Caenorhabditis elegans: one gene and its partner. The protein of the gene in region 1 interacts with the protein of each later gene in a pairwise test. Each region holds a gene or a part of one and is shown on either strand. Other genes may lie near its edges. The genes, in order: tra-4 and slfl-5.

Region 1 (10,084 bases):
CACTATATTAGCAATATTTGTTCTTGTGAATGAGAATCGTTCAACCAGGCGGACGCACGTTTTGCTCTTAACCCCCATATGCGGAGCGCGTGCAGACTGACGAACAAAAAACCAAATCCAATTATAATCGACAACAATACATTTTGACTCATTCTCTCCCATCATTATGAACATCACCACCGCAATTTGAAGGGTTGCTAGTCAGGCAAAATATCTATTCGAATACAAGTTTGTCAAACTTTGATCATGCAAACAGTCCTACTATCACTTCGAATTAAATCAATTGGCTACGTGAAATGATTGTGTAATATGCTGTTTTACCACATTTTCCATCAATGAAAGTTCAATAACATCGGTTTAAGTTGTGTTTTGGCAGAATCGAAATTGCAACACTCTTCGTCAAGGAAATTTTGAATTTTTAAGAAAATAAACTTTTTACGTTTTACGGTTTATCTGCACTTTGTTTCCATAGTAATTCGAATGCAATGGAGAATCTTAAATTTAGAAAATGTGGGAAAGATTTTTTATGCAACTGCATAATCGCATCGGAAACCAACTAACATGAAAGGAAGTAATGATTTTTTTTCCAAAAAAAAAACTACGCAGGTTTTTTTATGGAACATTGTTTTAAAGGTGGAGTAGCGCCAGTGGAGAATTTGTTAAAAACCTTTTTTTATCGACAACTTCCAAAAAGTGGCGAAAACTGGGATTTTTTCCAATTTTCAAAAAATCATAAAATTCAACTTTTTTAAAAATGTTTTTAACTGTTATTTGATTACTGTGGTGTGGTGAGATAGCAATTTTTTAAATTCACAACTGACGCTACTCCACTTTTAATCTATTTTATTTTTTTAACTTCTTGCTAAAAACGTTGCATGACGTAAAGCGGTCAAAAATGCTGTGCAAAAATTTGTCGGACGAAAAAAAAAGAAAAACTCTCAAGCATCCATCTTTATGTTCTGCCGTTAAACTCTCGGCGCTCGTTGATTTATTGCCGACTGTCGAACGGATGCGTGGGAATTTGCTTGGGCATTAAACGATAAAATCAGAAAAAGACTGTTCTATGGCGGGAAACAAAAACGACAAAACGCACCTTCTCACGGTAGATTGCGCAATGTTTTTACATACATATTTTATGTAAATTGTGTGACCTTAAATGAATGGGGAGAAAAAATAAAGTGCAATCGCACGCCGAACAAGTCAATTAACTAGGCACCATTCAATTAAGTGTGGGTGTTTTGTGTGTGTGGGGAAGGGAAATTGAGAACAAAGAATGGAACAGAGAGAAGAACACCCACCTTTTCAAGGCCCATACGCCGCCGTGGCGCAGCCATTGCAGTGTTGGTGTGGCGGCGCCTGAATGCGACAAGATAGTGTCGTAAGTTAAAACAGAGAGTGCATAGAGTTTTACCACCAGACGCACATATACATACATACACGCTCTCACTCACCCACTCACTCACTAACGCTCATTGCCGCCGCCTCCGCCGCCGCCTCGGCGTCTCTTCTTCTCTCACGCTCGCCTTCCAATACACTCAATAACGCTCACCGCCATGGCGCGCTCGCACACAATTCCTATTCGCTTTCTTTCCCGCACTGTGTTTCTCGATTTTCCGCGCCGCTTTTTTCCCATCTTCTCCCACCATCCTCTCTCTCACTCTCACACTTTGGACTAAGGCAGCGGGGGGCCCGCACACACGCACACACACACAAACAGACACACATACACAGGAAAAACGCACCCGTCCAGCGACCACTGTCTCTTTTTCTCAATGTCTCGGATTTGCGTCTCTCTCTTTCTCCACGCGTGCCCGGGTCCCGTTAAGAACTCTCGTCGCTTCTTGCTGATCTCTCACACTGACTCATACAATGCCTTGAGGAGCTCAACCGGGCGGCGGAGATCGCACTGCTTGAGCAAGTTCAAGAAAATAAACTTTTAAACCACCAACAAATTAATTCACGTAGTTTTTATAATGATAAAAATCATTCAGCATTTGTATATGAGCATTGTAATAAATTTCAAATTATAGTCACTTGACTTATATGTGTATATGTTATAAAAAAGTTGATTGATAGTTAGGACTCTAAAATAAAAAATGCCAATGGAACTATAACTTTTCCAATTAAAAATACTTGAAATTAAAAACATTGAAGGATTCAAGTTTGATCCGTTCTTCAAGCACCACGTGGTGTTAGATTGTCCCATTTTGGTTTGCTTTATGTAGATCTACAAAAAATGCGGGAGGTGAGACGCAGAGTTCTCGTCAAATTTTTAAAGGCAAAAAATTCCCGCATTTTTTGTAGATCAAACCCTGATGGCACAGCCACACACCACGTGAAGCGCCATGCACCGCGCATCTGAAAGTCAAGTACACTGCCCGGTGGTACTCCCACTAGGCTTTATTTTAAGCCACGTCCAAGCCAGTGACTGTGGCCAATATTTTCCGTTAAGGTTGTGGGAACCTAAAGGGAGGCAGGACTTGTATTTCTCATGATTGCTACCGTCCTACCACCTGAGCATTTCCTGTAAGTTATCATGGTAACAAAAATGCAAAAAAAAAACAAAAAAGCGAAAGGTTCAGCAATTCAATGTGAACTATGTCATAAATTTCAAAATATCTACATATAGTAACCTGATTTATTTGTGTGTATATCATGAATAAAGTTGAATGATTGATAGCACGCTAGATTAAAACATTAAAACACGTCCATGGTCTGAAAAAAAGTAAGAGGTGTTACAGTAATAGTACAATCAACATTAAATGACAAAATTAAACCCTTTTTAACATAATCGGGAAGTGAAACAAAAACAAACAAAAAATTGAAAAAAAAATGTATCAAATGAAAGTGTGGTAGTTTTGATGAAGATCTGTGATGATGAAGAAGTTTCACTCGCCTTTGTAGAGTATCCACATCCGCGGAGTCTCCACGTATGCTGTAATTAAAATTCAATTTTAAAAATTCTGTCATTCGTTTTTCAGTGATACCTGTCGGCTCATCTGCTGCCAGGTAGCCTCCGTGCTCTTCATACACGTGATGTTTCATCTCGGGGTATTCCGCGTGACGTTCGTGACAAATCGCGCAAACATATCCATGCTCATCTCTCTTGTGTTCCTGGAATCAATATAATTAAAAGTTCATATAAGGGTATTCATGACAAAAGGGCAGGCACCAGGATATAATCTGATCTCATTGTGAGTCCTCGATTTCATCGCCGTAATAACATTGATTTTTCTTTTTTGTTTTTCTTCTTTTTTACATGTATGTTAATCCTATCTCAGAGCACCCCTTCAAAAAAAAACAAATGTCATTTTTACCATGTGATTTTTTATTATGACAAATGCTGACTTGAAGTTAATGTGTGAAAGAATAAGCTCACCTCCATAGCAGTGTATCGGTTTGCACGAAAGTCGCAAACTTTGCATTCAAACTTTATAATTCCCGTATGCATTCTCTCATGGGTCATCACTGCAACTTCACTAATGAATATCTCCTCGCAAAAATGACATTGGAACGTTTTTGTGAACACATGGGACATCTTCTTGTGCTTCCGAAGTTTACGCGGTGTAAGGAACTTCATGTTACAGAACGAACAGCGGAAACCAGAGTTCGCTCCACGATGGAACTTCTTTCGGTGATTTAGGAGACGATTGTCGGTGCAAAGATTTCTGATCGGAGTACATTCGAAGCAAACATAAGTCTGAAAATATTAATTATTTAAGAGCTTGTCTTTAGTTTGAACTGGAACAAAGATCCAGAATGTAGTATTCAATTATAAGTTTTAAAATAAAGAAATTTAAGTGTATTTGTTATTTGTTATAAATGAGGGTTTTAAACTAAAGTAGCGCCAGTGGGGAAATTGTTAGAAACCCCTGGCGCCAAAATGGCCAAATACAACACTTTTTTGATTTTTTTTTTCCCTAGTCCAACAGGAGCTATTACTGAGATTTTGCCACTTTTTGAGATAACTATAGCAATGTCGCATGATCAGAGTCCTACAAAGTTTGAATATTAATATTTGAAACAAAATTGAAATATTAAAAAAATAGAAGGAAATTTTTTTTTGATTGGCCAGGTAACATTTTTAGAGTTTTTTGTATTGTTTCTTACCAATTCACAGTCGTGATTCGCCATCTCTGCATCATTTTCAACACATTTAAAACATTTGAGACACTGCTGAAACTCGACCATCTCCTCGTGCTTCTTTGCAAAATGTTTCTTGAGGGAAAACTCATTTCTAAAACGTTTATCACAGAACGGACATTGCGGCGACACTTTTTTCTTGTACGGACGCTTTAGTTGCTTGATTCTTCCATAATAGTCAAAACGTGGGACCAGGCCGCCATTGTTTTCTCCGGGAAGGGGAATACTGAAAATGCATGACGAAATTTAGAAAATAAACGGAAAACTGCTGAACCTACTAGTTTGGATCCTCAGATGGTTGAGAAATCTCGTTTTCCGGCGGGATGAATCCTCCTGTTTGTAGCTCTTCAATGCGATTTGCTTCGATTTCTTCAAGCCGTTGCAGCTCCACTTCTTCTTCTTGTTCACGAATATATTCCTCGTAGAGATCTGGATGTTTGTCGCGCAGATGTCGTTCATAAATGTTCTTCTCGATAAATCGATTCTTGCACTTTTTGCATCGAACCATTTTCTGTCGAATCAGCTTGCGTACAATCCGAACATCCGTTGGAGCATTCGGTGGAGGAAGATCAATTCCATCCTGATGATCGGCTAGAGTTAGTGTCTGTTGAACTTCAGCAATACGGCAAGGAGGAAACTTCGAAGGGTCTCTGACCCGAAATCCCAACTCATCAAGAACAATTCGCTCTTTCTGGATGGGCTTGATTTCTCCTCGAATTTGCTTCATAAATTCTCCGACTCCACTGAGCTTTGCACGTTCTTTCTCTGGCTCTTCTTTCTCAACAGGAACCTTTGCTGACATTCCGAGTGCTTGAGCTAGAAGTTCTGAAAAAACACACGTTATTAGTAAAAACTTGTAGTTAGATGTTTCAAATTACCAAAACCGATTCCCTTTTTGATCTCTTCATCGTCGTCATCGTCCTCCTCGTCGTCATAGAGCTCGTCCTCATTAATTGTCGTTTTCTCTGTTTCAAGTAATGGAATCAAATCGGTCTTGTTATTCAAATCCATCTCATCGTCGTCGTAGGTGCCTTGCCAATTTGCTTGGTTGGTGTCGATAGTAAGCATCAGCATATTACTGAAAATTAAATTAATTAAATGATTTTTTCTGCATATTTTGAACGTATAGGCCCGATATGTGCTCAAACAAATGATTTTCGTAATGAAATCTTCACAATTATGGCGGTTCGAAATTTGGAAAAAATGGCCTAGCCGTACCTAAAACCTTAAATTTTGGTCACTTCCCGTATCTGATCGGTTGGAAGTTCACTTTTCTGAATTAACATCCCTTTGGACAATTTGGTCGTTTGGTACATTTAAAACTGTTAGGTGATCAATTTTTGTTATTTTTGGTCACCAATCGGCTTCAAAAGTACCCAAATTTACAAAATAAAGTACTATCAAAATATGCAATAAAATTTTATAATTCCAAAAAAGAAAATTTCCGACCTCTGCGACACAAAACAAGTTGACAAAATTAAGGATTTCAGCTAGTTTGGCTGTTTTTGAACCGACATAAAAATATTTTGAGAAATTTCATTACGAAATTCAAATATAGATTAACCAGCCGTGGACCGCACCTTCGGCGCGGCCCCCGACTTCTGGGGCTGAAAATTGATTTTTTATGAAACTACCGTCACCCTACAGTATTCCTACCGTACCACAATTGTACCACTACAGTACCCCGACTATATCCCTACACTAACCCTAACTCACTATCCCTACAGAAGCCAAAACTTCACAGACTACAAAGACCACATAGACTACAAACTATGGACACACAGAATAAGCGCTTTATATATAGTAAATGATTTTTTCGGATTTTACATATATTATAAAAAGAAACAAAAAAAACTTACTCCATTGTTGAGGATGAACCTTCTTCAATCGCCGGTTCTTGTTTCAAATTTTGTATCGTTGGCGCCTGAAATTGGGAAGAATTTTTGAGATTAGAAAAAAAATAACAGAAACTCACCTCTGTAGGTCTTGGTCGCGTTATGGAGTCCTCCTGTTTAATAGTGCATTGATTTGGGTCATCCATTGCCTGAACCGTGGGAAATAGTGGGTCGATAGTATGCGCGCGCGCGCACCAAAACACTGCACATTACAGGCGTACGCAGCGCGACCGCATCGCGTCTCTTCATTGAATTTCAGAGTTTCATCGATTAACTGGTTTTTGCAGGATTTTAAATAATTTTTTCAATTCATTTGATTGGAAAATAAAATAATTTAGGTTTGTGGAACTAAATCGAAATATGATATAAACATTTAGTTAAAAAATATATTAAAAAATACTATTTTCGAAAAAAACAAAAAAAGAATTACCGATAAAAATGTATTTGTAAATAGAAATATTGTAAAAATAATAACCTTGAAATATATATGAGACGCTCTCAAAAACGAAATGGAAGAGTTAATGCTATGGGTTTTCTAGTCCGCCTGTCCTCAAACAAAGAACGAAGGCTTCGCAGACAGATGTTTTAAAGATGAAGTAGCGGCATTGAAAAACGTGTTTAAAACTTCTCTATTAAAACCAAAATAGGCGAATAGTATTGTAAAACTTTTCAAAAAAGTTTAAATGTTTTATTTAAAATATATTTACTTATTTTTGCAACTCAAAATTTGGAAGCCGACAAAAAAAGTTTTTTCTACGCTTTTTAATACTTTAATTTTGTTTTCAATATTTCTGTTAAAACATTCTAGTGTTTGGAACACGCGATATTGCTCTGGATTTTCATAAAAGCTCTTTTTTTTTTTAAATTCTACTCTACCTCTAGCACACTGGGTTAACCGTTTAGAGTAACATTATGGAAATAAAAAAATATGAAGGTTTAAAAAATTTCATTGTCAAAATTATGAACACATATGAACCGGATTGATTGAGGACAAGAACACCACTTTACACGTGGCGATTGAGAAGTTTTAATGCAAATAAAAACATACAAAACAATGTTAATTCAAATTTTATATCAATTCTTTGTAACAATCCAGGTGCCGCCACCATATGGAAGTAGAGAAGCAGAAACCTGAAAAATGTAAAGTTTCTGATTTTTAATTAGTTATCTTAATATATTGGTTCAGGGTATTTTGAACGTATATACCAACAATGTGCTCAAACAAACGAATTTAGTTTTGAAACTTCACAAAAACTAGCGCTGCGACACTGAAAACTGCTCAAATTTTGAGAGAACAAGCCCAATTTTCTTTTAAATTTTGAATCCCCATAAAACATTTTGAAAATTTTTTCAGAAGTTTCATTTTGAAATTCGTTCAAAATACCCAAAACCGATACTCCCCCTTTCACTGTCTCAAAAATTTTTAAGTTAAATTTCTCACCCGGGGGTCTTGTTTGATGCGTATGTTCATGTTTCGAATGACCCTGTCATCGTTGGTCATGTGATCAATCGATGACATCACTCCACCACCATTGAGTGCCTAGAGAAAACAAAACGTAAAACTATTATTTCTAATTAAGAAATGAGGGACCTGGTTAATGATTAAAAGACCACCACTTCGAATCAGTCGAATTGCGTGTTCATAATCATCCAAATAGTTTTCCCTCTTAAAATCATCCAGAAACACAAAATCGAAAGTGTTGGGTTCATTTGTTGCAAGTCGAGGCAATGATTTTTCGATGCTTTCAGATGTTCTCATTTGAATTCTGGACATTTGCGTAGCCGTGAGTTTTCTTGCGTGCTTCTGCCCAATTTTATCCCAGAAAACAGCATAGGCCGGATGCTCAAGTGCGACAACAATTCCTCGAGAATCAACTCTTTCGGCGACACCGAGTAATCCAAGACCAGTGAATACTCCTGAACGTTTATTTTAACAATACAAATCAATTTTTCATTATAACAAGTACGTTAAAAAGAGCCACACCACGTGAAGTGACTCAAAGTTGAGCCTGGTCGAAAATCTTTTTTGGAAAGCACCGTGAAATGAAAAATCATGGCTTCATGGCACAACATTAACCTGCATAATATCAGAAAAATCGGTAAACAGCGAAAAACATTATGAATTTTGACTCGTGACTTGCTTAAGCCCCTCATAGAAAAATAAAATTTTGATCTATTCTCCAAGTAACATACATGAAATATACTCACCAATTACTAAACATCTTGAAGGTCTATAAAGTGACATTAAAGTTTGAACTAGTTGCACAATTTCCGGGGTCACTGAACTGTGCCAAGAAATGTGTTGTGGGAGTGATGAAGCGGTTTGGGTGTCCTGAAAAAATTGTAACGGATAAAAATTTTAAATTTTGCCTTACCCTGAGCAAATCTTGAATGGAGTTGTCGATCATTGTTGAGTGACTGTAGCAGTATTGGAATAAAGGATCAGAAGTCTCAAAACTTTTCAGTTTGATGGAGCATCTTTGATCGGGAACTGAAATTAAAATCATATACATACAACTGTAAATTATTTATGTACACATATTAGAGACAATGCAAGATGTACTTACCACATGTGTCATATTTATTGGTGTGGGGAGCAGAGGTGACCGCAATTTTTTCAACAATTGGAGGGCGTGTGAACTTTTTAGCCTGAAGACAAAATCAGAATTGTTTCTCTAATTCTATGAAAGAATGGTGATTTCATACTTTAATGATAAACGGAATTCCAGCCGTTGAGCTGTAAACAGTCTGATATTCACTTGGTGGAGTAGGGATCAACATTGTGATTGTGGATGGCTCAGATGGAAGCTCTGCAGTTACTGACATTGGGGTAGTCCAAAACACAGAAGTTGTATATTCAGGAGTCACAGAAGGTGTCACTTTCTTCCAAACATTGTTCCGGATAATAGATGATGGACGGATGAATTGTTCGGTTGAGCTGAAACATATTGGGTGAGTAATAAGTTTTGTCAATTTTTTTTGTTTTTTTTTAAACTTTTATAAAAAATAGGAAACTGTAAGTTATGTATATTTAGTCAATATCACATATATCCAAGCACTCAAAAATTAGAATTTCTGAAATTTTTGTTTTTTGATATTTTTTCAATTGGCGTTTGATTGATCTGTTAGTTATATAGTTTTATTTCAGATAAAATTGGGTTCTGCAAAAAATTAATTTTAGCTTGATTCTACCACTCAATCTGTACTTACCTGAAATTGGCAAAAAAGAGTATTTTTTCAATCGTTTAATTTTTGGTTCGTTTTTTATTCTTGTTTGCAAACCACATTAATTAGTGTTTATGCACGTTTGTATTTTGTTTCAGTCGAATTCGTTCAATAAAAAACAAATTTTCCGGCAAACCGACAAGCGGCACATTATAAAATTCCAGATAAACGGAGTTGATAATATTGTGCTGGAGAAAGAATTTTGGAAGTGCCGACAAATCTTATGTAAGTCGCACAAAATCACATGGTTGTTTCACGCCTACTAACGCACCTACCTCTTTCATGCCCACGTTTCTGCCTGCCTACCTGTGTGCCTACGTCATGCTTGTCCGCTTACGTGTCTAATCAACCTATCCACAATACCTAACCGAAACTTCTAGTCTGCCTACGTGCCTCCTTCGTGCTTTTCAGCATAGTCTGGTTCCAATAAAAATAAAAATAAACACTAATAAATTTGAAAACAAAATATGTCAGAAAAATCAAACAGTGGACAAAATCCACCTTTTTCGACAATTTAAGTTATGAACACAATTAGTTGCTTTAAATAGGTAATACCAGCCTAATTGTTTTGTGAAAAATAATTTTAACATACAACTTTATAGCATTCACAATCAAATTGGAATTTTTTTTTTTACAAAAAATTATAATTTTGAGTGTAAAGTATATTAGAACAGCTCGGATATGGATGCTCACAATTAAATGTACGTAGGTAACTTACAGTTTCCTATAACTACCATATAAAGGTGCAAAAAGTATAACTTTTCCATTAGTTACCTATTACCTATTGTTACCTAGTTACCTATCGTGAATAATGTACCCCA
Region 2 (9,747 bases), on another chromosome or scaffold:
TATTAGGACATCTCCAAATGGAGTAAGTTACTGAATCAAAAAAAAGTTAACGCCTATTTCCAGACTGAATACAATATTTATGACTATTCGAGTGATGAAAAAGCAGAAATAATATGGGCGGTAGCAATTGGAACTGTACTAGGAACTGTTCCATATAATTGGTGCTATGTTAAATTTGGAGCAAGGTAAATATTTTTGGAAGTAATTTCTAATACATATTAACATTATTCCAATAGGTTCACATTTCTCTCGGCTGGAATTCTCTCATTTATATCGACTGTATTAATTCCCACAATGGCTTCAACCAACTTCTATCTACTTTTAATCATTCGATTTTTTCAAGGAATTTCTTATGCAGCAGACTTTGCAGTTATTGGAATAATTTGTATGAAATGGGCTCCGCTTGACGAGAACGCATTTTTCGTCTCTGCTCTAACGATATTCTCACCGTTTGCCACCTCAATTACGGATTCGTTAACGGGATGGGTAGGTTCACTAGAATTAGTATAAAATTTAAAGTTTTGAATTTTTATTACTTACTAAAGGCAGCATAAGTGGGAAGAACTAATTCACTAATTGTTCAGTTTCCCATATTTTAGTTCTGCACAACATCTTTTGGATGGGAATCTTCATTTTACGTACACTCGATTGCTAGTGTTATCTGTTTTATTTTATGGGTTTTTTTATTCGGATAATCCAGCGACTCATCGATTTGTTGGGACTCGAGAATTGGAACATATTCAAGATGGAAAATCACTTGAACATTATGAAACTAAAAGGTATTAGTTTATCAAAAACGTATAACCAGCCGAAACTTCAGAATAATACCATACTTTGCAATGATAAAGAATCCGGCAATAATTTGTTGCTGGTTCAATGCTTTCATGGATTTATCAATGTCAATCCTTCTGATAACCTACTCTCCAATATATTTCAATCAAGTTTTGAAATTTACAATCGAACAAACTGGATTTATTATCAGTATAACCAATTTTGCACAGATCCCTTTCAAATTACTCGCTGCGTATATTAGTGATAAAGTTACATTTATTAGTCCTCGTACTAAAATGCTAATTTTCAATTTTATATCATGTGGTATTGTGTCTATTCTATTTGGAATCGTTGGATTTGTTGATGAAGCTCATCGCTGGTGGGCTATGACCTTGGTTACAGCTGTTAACTGTTCGTTTTGAAATTATTTTTGAAAACTATGGTATATGTTTAGGTATGATGTCTACAAACTGTGGTGGATATTATCAATGTGCAAGATACGTGGCATTACAGTATGCGGACGTCGTGATTGCTGCAATACAATTTTGCAAAGCAATTGCATTATTCTTTGTTCCAGCATTAGTAGCTCTGACAGTTCACGATGAGAATAGCCGGGCACAATGGGCAACTGCGTTTTGTATTAATTCAGGCCTATTGCTTGTGGTAGGTGAACATTTTAGTCTAAATAATAAATTTTTAAATTATTTCAGGCAACGTTCACCTCATTTTTTTTCTTCTCGGATAAACCAGCTGATTTTACAATCACAAAAAAAGCGGATGATGCAGAACAATGTTGCAAACTATAGAAAATAATATACTTTTGATAAATAATGTACATACATATTTTCACAACTAAACTTCTCGTTTTTAGCACAATTTTATTCAAATATAAGTTTTTCAGAAGCTTAAATTTTGAAATTGTTATCTGGAAAGCGGAGTTTACAATCCGAAACTTTACTTTTTGTCTCAAACTATAAAATTGCTGCTATATAATTATAATTGGTAATTATAGCTGTTAGGGAGATATATGTATCACGAGAAAGTTGTTTATAAAGCTCATGGTAAAAACATTTTCACTTTCAAACAAAACACTAAAACAAATTTTGCCAACTCTCACTTTTCCTTTGGTTTTCATTTGAAAAAAATGAACGATGAGTTAGACATAGACACATTGTATTCAATTATTCTTCTCTCTGATTATTTTCTAAAAGCCCAACTAATATTATCAATAATATCATTAGTTTTGACTATTCCACATATTTTTATTTTAACGAGAAGCTCAATAAGAACATCAAGTACAAATTGTTTATTAATTGGCATCGCAATTTCTGACTTGTTTTTGCATTTGGGAAACTAAATGATAGAATTGAACTAGATTGGTATTTTCTTGATCCATGCGTGTTCAATAGTTCTTATTACGTCAATATTTATTTTCTTGTTAAAGACTTTTTGAAGGATACTTTTGAAAAATCTTCTTTTTCCTTGGGATTATTTTTAGCATTAATCCGATTTATTCTCATGAAACTTTCTGGTGATGCTCCGACTTTGTCAAGTAACTCATTTGGATATTTATTGGTAGTCGGTGTAATTCTGATCAGTTCCCTTCCTTCTGGTATCTATTATACAGGATATGATTTGATTGGTGCACCATGGGATGAAAAGTGAGAAAGATTCATTTTACAAAGAACCTTGAAGTAACGTTTATCTTTCAGTTGCACGGGAGTACCAGAAAACTTCACTAATATGTTTTACGATCACCAGATTGGAGAACATCCTATTATTTCGATAGACAATTATCGATACACAACTGGGAGTTTTCGGGTAGGAAGACTTTAAAATTTTTTTTTGGATTTTGCTTTACGCTTTCTAGGATATAGCTAAACTTCCGAGTAGCAATTTGATCTGACAAGTATGCGATTGGAAATCTGAGATTATTAGAATTTGGAACAACTCAAAATTAATGTAATTTTATTGCCCGCAATTTTAGAATAGTTCCGTTTTTTTTTTTGAATCGTATTGGAATTGTTTGAATGATTATTTTTCAAACTTCGAAGTATTTTTACTAGATTTATTAATACAAAAACATAAACTCATTTTTTGGTTTCAGATGATCATCACAATTGTTTATCCAATTTTTGGTGCACTTTTAATGTTTGAAATCATTAAATCTGCACGCTTCGCATCAGTGACACTCAGTAGACAAGATGCAATAGAACGGTATGCCAGCTGATTTGATTATTAACTTAACTATTAAATTCAATTTCAAGATATCGGTCGGGAAGGATGATAATGTGCATGACAATCTTCTACACAATTTCAAGTCTTCCTGGTGGTGCATTTGAATTTATCTGGATATTCATTAATCCACAATTTAATACAATTCTCCACATGGTTCTCTTGTATGGCGATGTTTGGGTTGATACATTTTTCTGTTTCAATGCGGCTGCACATTGTTTAATCAATTTTTCAATGTCACGGAATTATAGATCAACTGTGATGAAAGCGTTGCATATCGAGAATTGATGGTTCGATTTTTATTTGGGGCATTATAACTTTATATTCCGGACCATTTGTAGAATCGCTTTCAATTGTATCTTGTTTTTTTGATAAAACCCCAATTTCTTCCATAGTCTGCTAATATATACGTGATTTGCAACTACGATTCAATTCAAAAATATTATGTTTTTTCGAGTCCTGAACTTTTTCTACCTTATACACTAATTTACGATATAAATTCCTCCTTCCTATTTTTCTAGAGTTTAGAGGTTCGTAGATCCACTTCAATTAATTTGAACTATTTTCTAGAATATAATTTTGCATTCAGTGGACAAAGTCAAAAACATAGCTTCAGATCAGGAAACTATTGAGCAAAAAATATTTTCCTTAATAGTATTTTGTCGTAGTAGTCTTGGTGTAAAGGTGTGGTAGATTCAGTCACGTGGTGTCAGGCTGTCCCATTACGGGTTGATCTACGAGAAATCAGGAATTTCTCGAGCATAAACATGCTCTCAACCATGCGGAATCTGCTGAGAAGTCTGCGTCTAAATTTAAGAATTTTTTGTAGATTGTACCGATATGGGACACTCTGACACCATGTGGTCAGTTCCGTCAAGTATACAAATGAACCAAAAATACTGAATATTTATTTTTTAATCACTAGCATGTTTCACACTTTTTGTAATTTTCAGTATGTTCTTAAAGTTAGTTTAAACTTTATCACATTAAGCATTCTTGTATGTTCGAAACCCTACAAATCAATTACAAATTAATTTAATGTAATCCAAGTTAAAAGTTTTTTGGTCAACCTTCAAAACTATGAAATGTGAAAACTGAGTCATTTCTACCGTTGTGAGCATCATATAGTGATTTTAAAAGTTTTTACTATTGGCGTTTCACCAAATTTAAAATGGACTTTTAGTCGTTGAACAAAGTTGATATTTACAATAGAATTATCTAAAAAGAACCAATTATATCCTTTGTCGTTGATCTATGATTTCATTTTAAGTGACAATTATTGAGTCAGTGAGCAAAGTAACAATTTGTAACGACTATATTTACTCGAACTGTGTTTCTATTTACTTCTTGTAGACAGTATATAAATGTCTTACAAGAATCACTCTGAATTTTGTGTTCACAATGTTTTCAATTACATATATTGCTCTTTCTGTTTTCTTTTTGATTCATTGCTCCGATGCTTTACTCAATGTTATCGGAAGCACTCAAAGTGTTACTGTAACGGGAAAATTGGTTTGTGAAGGACAGCCAGCCAGTGGAGTTCTCGTGAAGATGTATGACGATGGAACGAGTAAGTTATTATTTGGAAGAACTGTTTTGAAACAATTGATTTTTTCAGTATATGACTCGAAATTAGGTTCGACGACCACCTCATCTGATGGAACATTTTCTGTTTCTGGAACATATACAGATATTTTAACATTGGATCCAAAAGTGAATATATATCATAGTTGTAATTACAATGGACCATGTTCAAAGAAAGTGACAATCAATATTCCTGATTATGCAGTTGCATCTGGAAGTAGCTCGACTGATAATTATGATATTGGAACTTTGAACTTAGCTAATCAGTTCAGTGGAGAAACCACTGATTGTATCCATTGAATGTGTACTTCCTAATAAATTTGTTTCTAGAATAATTGAAATGGGACATCTAGGAAGAGTGAATTCAGTTCATTTTTAAAATTGTAACTAAAAAAGCAGTAGCGCAAAAAATGCTACAAAAAATGAATAGAATGAGTGGGGGCACCTGGAAGAAGAGAAAAAAGAGGATCTAGAGTATTTTTGGAGACAAAAAGGTTCACTTAGTGAACAAATATTCAGAATTGTACAATTTCAACTATGTACAACTATTATCAACCCGGAGCAAAATGTAAACACACGGGTACCTAGGAGGAGAGGGCAAAGAGAGAGAGAGTGAAAAAAGACTACAAAAAAGAGGTCTACACAAAATATACAAGATAATTGGGAGGGGGGGGGGGGGGTGGCAGTAAAATTTAGAGATTTTCAGACTAACAATTATCATTGGGTGCACGGAAATACTTTTAATACTTCTCCCATTCCTTTGGTTTTTCCTTGACGAAGAATAATTGGTGATCCTTCACGAATGACTTCTGGTTGATAGGCGAAACACATTTTAACTACAGCCCATTTTCCTGGACGGATGCAGTCTGCATCGTCGATGTGAGTAATAATGGCAGTTGTACAGACACTTCCGATAAACACTGAAAAAGTTCATAAATTATTTCAGAAAAAATCAAAACTGAAAGTTGAAATGAGAAAAAGTACTCACCTGTGGCTTGAAATCCTTCGCATATGTATTTCGTCGAGTGACACAGCAGTAAAAGATTGGCAGTGAATTCGTAACAAACTGGTGGTTGATGATCGATTTCAGCAAGAACCATTCCCTTTAATGAAAATAATCAATATGTTTCACATTTCGAATGATTTTTCTGTGGAAAAAAATACTTACCCTTCTTAGACTGACACCGTCTGGAAGATTCAAGGATATCGATGCAGCTTCACCAGGATTAACACATCCTACGGCTTGCCGGCTTCTTCGAATCGACCCGACAGTAATTTTTTCAAAAGTTCCATCTTTCATGGGTCCAACAAGAACATCTGCTCCTTCATGCAATTGTCCTTCAGATAGCATTCCTCCAACTACTTGTCCAACATGAGGCACATTATATAGTTCCTCGATTGTGAAAAAGGCTGGGAGTCCAACTAGTTGAATACGTGACTCTGCAGTTCCAGCTGTAGAAAGGCAATTGAGAAGTGTTCTGAGACAACGAAAACCTTCTCCGCTCACTGAACTAACAGCAAGAACTGGTACGATACTACCAACGCAGAGTTCTTGTGCCGCCTTCACTGCGTCTCTTTTAGTTTTCACTCTTTTCTCGCGAGCTGTCATCCCTGCTTTCGCAACAAGATTGGAAACATCTTTGATGATTTTCTTAAGTCCTTGTCGATCGACTAGATCCATTTTTGTGATCAGTACAAACATTGGAATGTTTAAAGCGGCAATTAATCCAAGATGTTCACGAGTGGCCCACGTGATTCCTCGATCGGCGGCTACAACAAGGCAAGCGAAATGAGGAGTGTATCCGGTTAATCCATGAATTGTCGTTTTCTGATATTTTGCGTCTCCAGCCAGATCGATAAGTGTTACAAGTTTTGAAGACTTCTCCACCATTTCTTCGAGACTATTTTGTGCATAATTGACTAGCTGAAAAAAGTAAAAATTAGATATTTATAAATAAATTTAAAAAAATCGAATTTAAGTTTTTCAAATAAAATTTTTCTAAATTCATTGTTTTTGTATTCAAAAGTGGAGTAGAATCATTTTGAAATTTTGTTTTGAATGAAAAAAAAATTGACCGTAATAATCGATTTTAATTGATTTTAAAAGTTATAAAATCTTTCTAACTTTTTAAATTTTTATTTTTGATAATTGGGCGGGAATTCAAAAACAGATTTTTATTTTTTTATTTTTGCAAAATTGAAAAAATTATAAAAATTTTATGATTTTTTGAAACAATTATATTCGGTATTACCGTCCATTTTTTTAATTATTTAAATCAAAAACCCTAATAAATAGGATCCAACTTTAAAATTTTCAATAAAGAAATTATCTACAATTTAATCAGTTTACTGTTTTTTTTTTTAAATATTTTCAAGCATATTTTAACCCATTCTGAATGTTTCGAAAAATTTCTAACCTTTCCACGATTATCGAAGCCAATGACATCATTACAGACAGAACTGGTTTTTCCTGTTCGCACTTCGTGTGGAAATCTGAATATTCCAATTCTTGCTTTTCCGTTTCCGTCGTCCAGACAACCCTGTGTTAACACTCCACACAGTGTTGATTTTCCGACATCGCATCCTCCAACGACAGCAAGACGAACTTCGATGAATTGCTGGCTTTCAGGAACCTTTCGGACAAGTACCTAGAAAAATAATTTCATTTAGATAAAATATGACTCAATAATAATTACCTCGACTACAGTTCTCCGTGAATTTGATCCCTTAACAGTAACGTCTTTCTCGGTCAAAATAACCATACTCGCCCCAAGAGCTTGGGCCATCGTTCTCAAGGTCCGAAGTGAATCATTCAGTTCCTCGTCTGTTAATCCAGACATTATTCCACCATCCTCAACGCCAATTTCATAAATAGCCTCTCCTTGACCCTCACGAAGACGCCATTTCATTTGAGTGATCAGATGTTGTATACGAGATGTCGTTGGATTTACTAATTTTGCTTTGTACTCAATATTTCCAAGCTCCGTTTCAGGTGGCAATCGGTTTTCGGTGTCGGAGTCGGAACATTCATCGTTAGTTGGCAGTGAAGAGCTGAGAAGTGTTGGTCCATTTTTAGAGTCCGATATTGATTGTCGTCTGTAAAAAATAATATAATATACTACCTTAAATGATTTGGCGACATTAAATAAATTGAATTGATTTTATATCAATGTTTTAGAATTGATTTATTTTTTATAAGGAATTTAAATAAATGAATTTTGATTTTAGAAATAAAATTTTCAAATGTTAACCACACAATATTTATCGTACTCACCTAGTTTTGTAAAGTGGCTGATGATTCTGCTCATCGCAGAAATGTGAAATCATAAAATCCATAGTGAGATTGAGTTGTTTATTATTTTATGAAATGAGATAATCAGTTGGATAACTACTGCTCACGCCGTATTCGATCTATCATTCGATTCTCCGATTCTGGAACATCAAATTTTAATCATAGGGAGAGAGGTTCGGGTACTTGAGAAAAAAATGTCGTGTTTCGAGAGGTTTTGAAAAGTCAGTTGTTAACTGGTTCGGTCAACATGTAGAGATTGTAGAGAAATATGAGAACTTAGAGAATTGACGTATGAAGAGAAAAAAGTGGGAAAGGGGAGCCGCTGTTGTTTTCGAAAGAAGAAAATAAGACAGAAAAAATCGGAGAGGAACATAACAACAAGTTAAGTTGACTTTTGAACTGGAAATTTGTCAATATTGAAAAAAGGAACAGTGAGAAATATCGATTTCCACGTCGCTCGATTCTATGAAAAGAAATTATGCACACACAAGCTTCACAGTGAGCATGCTGAATGATTGAGCAAATACATGAGAGAATAAGAGAGGAATGAGATGAAAAGAAGCGTTCAAATCAAAAGAAACCAGACAAAATGGCGATTTTTTACGGGAATATGAACCTACTGATTGGCAGTGGACAGCTGGAAGAATAAGAAGATACTGAAGGAAGGTTGAAGTTGAAGCTTGGAAGACAGATGATGAGAGAGAGGAAAACCTGTTTCTTTTTGATTACGATCGGACGGAAATGAGAAGGAAGTAAGTGTTTTCACACGTAGGTGGGCATTGAGATCTTTGAAGGTGCATTCGACAGGTTAATAATCATTCTAAATACCAGGTGACAATGGAGGATACTTTTAAACAGTAAATATATTGGAATAAAACATAAAAGTTAGTCTTACTCAGAATTTCTAAAATTTCAGCCTTCTGGAACGAAAGGTAAAATCATAATAATAATACAAGTGGGGCTGTTAGTAGCCCTAAATACAAGTAAAATGACCGAACACAGCCGTTAAAGAATGTTGCAGAAAATTGCGAAATATTTCCTTACTCTTAAGAACAACATTCGATGTGACGCAATATGATGCATTTCCTTAGACAAAAACGTTCAGTTCAAAATAAACAACAATAAAACCGTTTGTACGATTTCTAGAATACGAGTTTATCAGTTGTTCGGAAAATATCTTATCAATCGTTTGACTGATGTTTTTTAACCATGTGAGAATTTGAAAAAAAATTTCATGATTGCCAAAAATTAAAATAAACAGGAAGCTTTTACCGAGTTTTCGTGATTTTCAGAATGAAGAAATTAATATGAAGCTCAAAATCAAAAGCAGAGGGAAAAGAAAAAATCGAAATCTTCTTTCGGTTAAACAACACGCGCTTGCGGAACTTCGGAGCATCGTATTTTGTTTTTGCGCTCTATTTTTGAATCGGAAACTGTTTTTTTGTCAGTTTTCGAAATTGTTTTTTTTCTGTTTTTTTACTTCATGCAAGAGTTTAACTTTACGCAAAAATTAATTAAAAATACGCAGAAGGCCCACTTTACACAGGAATTAATTGAAAATACTCAGGAATTTCACTTTACTTAGTCCTTTTTCCAGAGTTTCCAACGGAATCAATATATTAATTTAATTTCGCAACATTTTTCTTTGAATAAACCTATTTGCAAATGAGAATGTTTCAGATATTTGCTTATCGAAGCCTGGGAATTGCTTATGGCGAAATTTTTACGCGTAAGTCTGCAAATTTATTTTTACTCTGAAAATACTAAATTTATGAAAATTTCAGCTACACATCAGAGGAATTCGAAGTGTCGGTGATGAGGACCACGATGTTCACAAAATTGATTTCCTCTCTCCGTGCACACTA

What was found.
Region 2: the proteins of tra-4 (region 1) and slfl-5 interact in a two-hybrid assay, tested with the Caenorhabditis elegans proteins (2 studies listed by BioGRID).

The regions. Positions count from the first base shown.
Region 1 is NC_003284.9:2,851,054-2,861,137, forward strand, and holds tra-4 (Zinc finger protein tra-4), read right to left. Parts: upstream 6,193-10,084; 5' UTR 6,185-6,192; coding exon 6,119-6,184; intron 6,068-6,118; coding exon 6,003-6,067; intron 5,222-6,002; coding exon 5,022-5,221; intron 4,969-5,021; coding exon 4,422-4,968; intron 4,370-4,421; coding exon 4,111-4,369; intron 3,701-4,110; coding exon 3,380-3,700; intron 3,115-3,379; coding exon 2,988-3,114; intron 2,936-2,987; coding exon 2,889-2,935; 3' UTR 2,626-2,888; downstream 1-2,625. Other genes in the region: Serine/threonine-protein kinase kin-29, read right to left, coding at 1,299-1,334; comt-1 (Catechol-O-MethylTransferase family), read right to left, coding at 7,113-7,169, 7,480-7,578, 7,630-7,955, 8,247-8,370, 8,414-8,529, 8,606-8,687, 8,745-8,976. UniProt on the Caenorhabditis elegans protein: Probable transcription factor. Promotes normal hermaphrodite (XX) development, in concert with histone deacetylase hda-1 and nasp-1, perhaps as components of a complex.
Region 2 is NC_003283.11:12,237,023-12,246,769, forward strand, and holds slfl-5 (Tr-type G domain-containing protein), read right to left. Parts: upstream 8,023-9,747; 5' UTR 8,009-8,022; coding exon of another isoform or gene 7,979-8,008; 5' UTR 7,927-7,978; coding exon 7,865-7,926; intron 7,687-7,864; coding exon 7,287-7,686; intron 7,239-7,286; coding exon 7,008-7,238; intron 6,515-7,007; coding exon 5,759-6,514; intron 5,694-5,758; coding exon 5,579-5,693; intron 5,511-5,578; coding exon 5,308-5,510; 3' UTR 4,949-5,307; downstream 1-4,948. Other genes in the region: ttr-22 (Transthyretin-like family protein), read left to right, coding at 4,408-4,576, 4,625-4,890; rad-50 (Zinc-hook domain-containing protein), read left to right, coding at 8,624-8,634, 9,563-9,611, 9,667-9,747.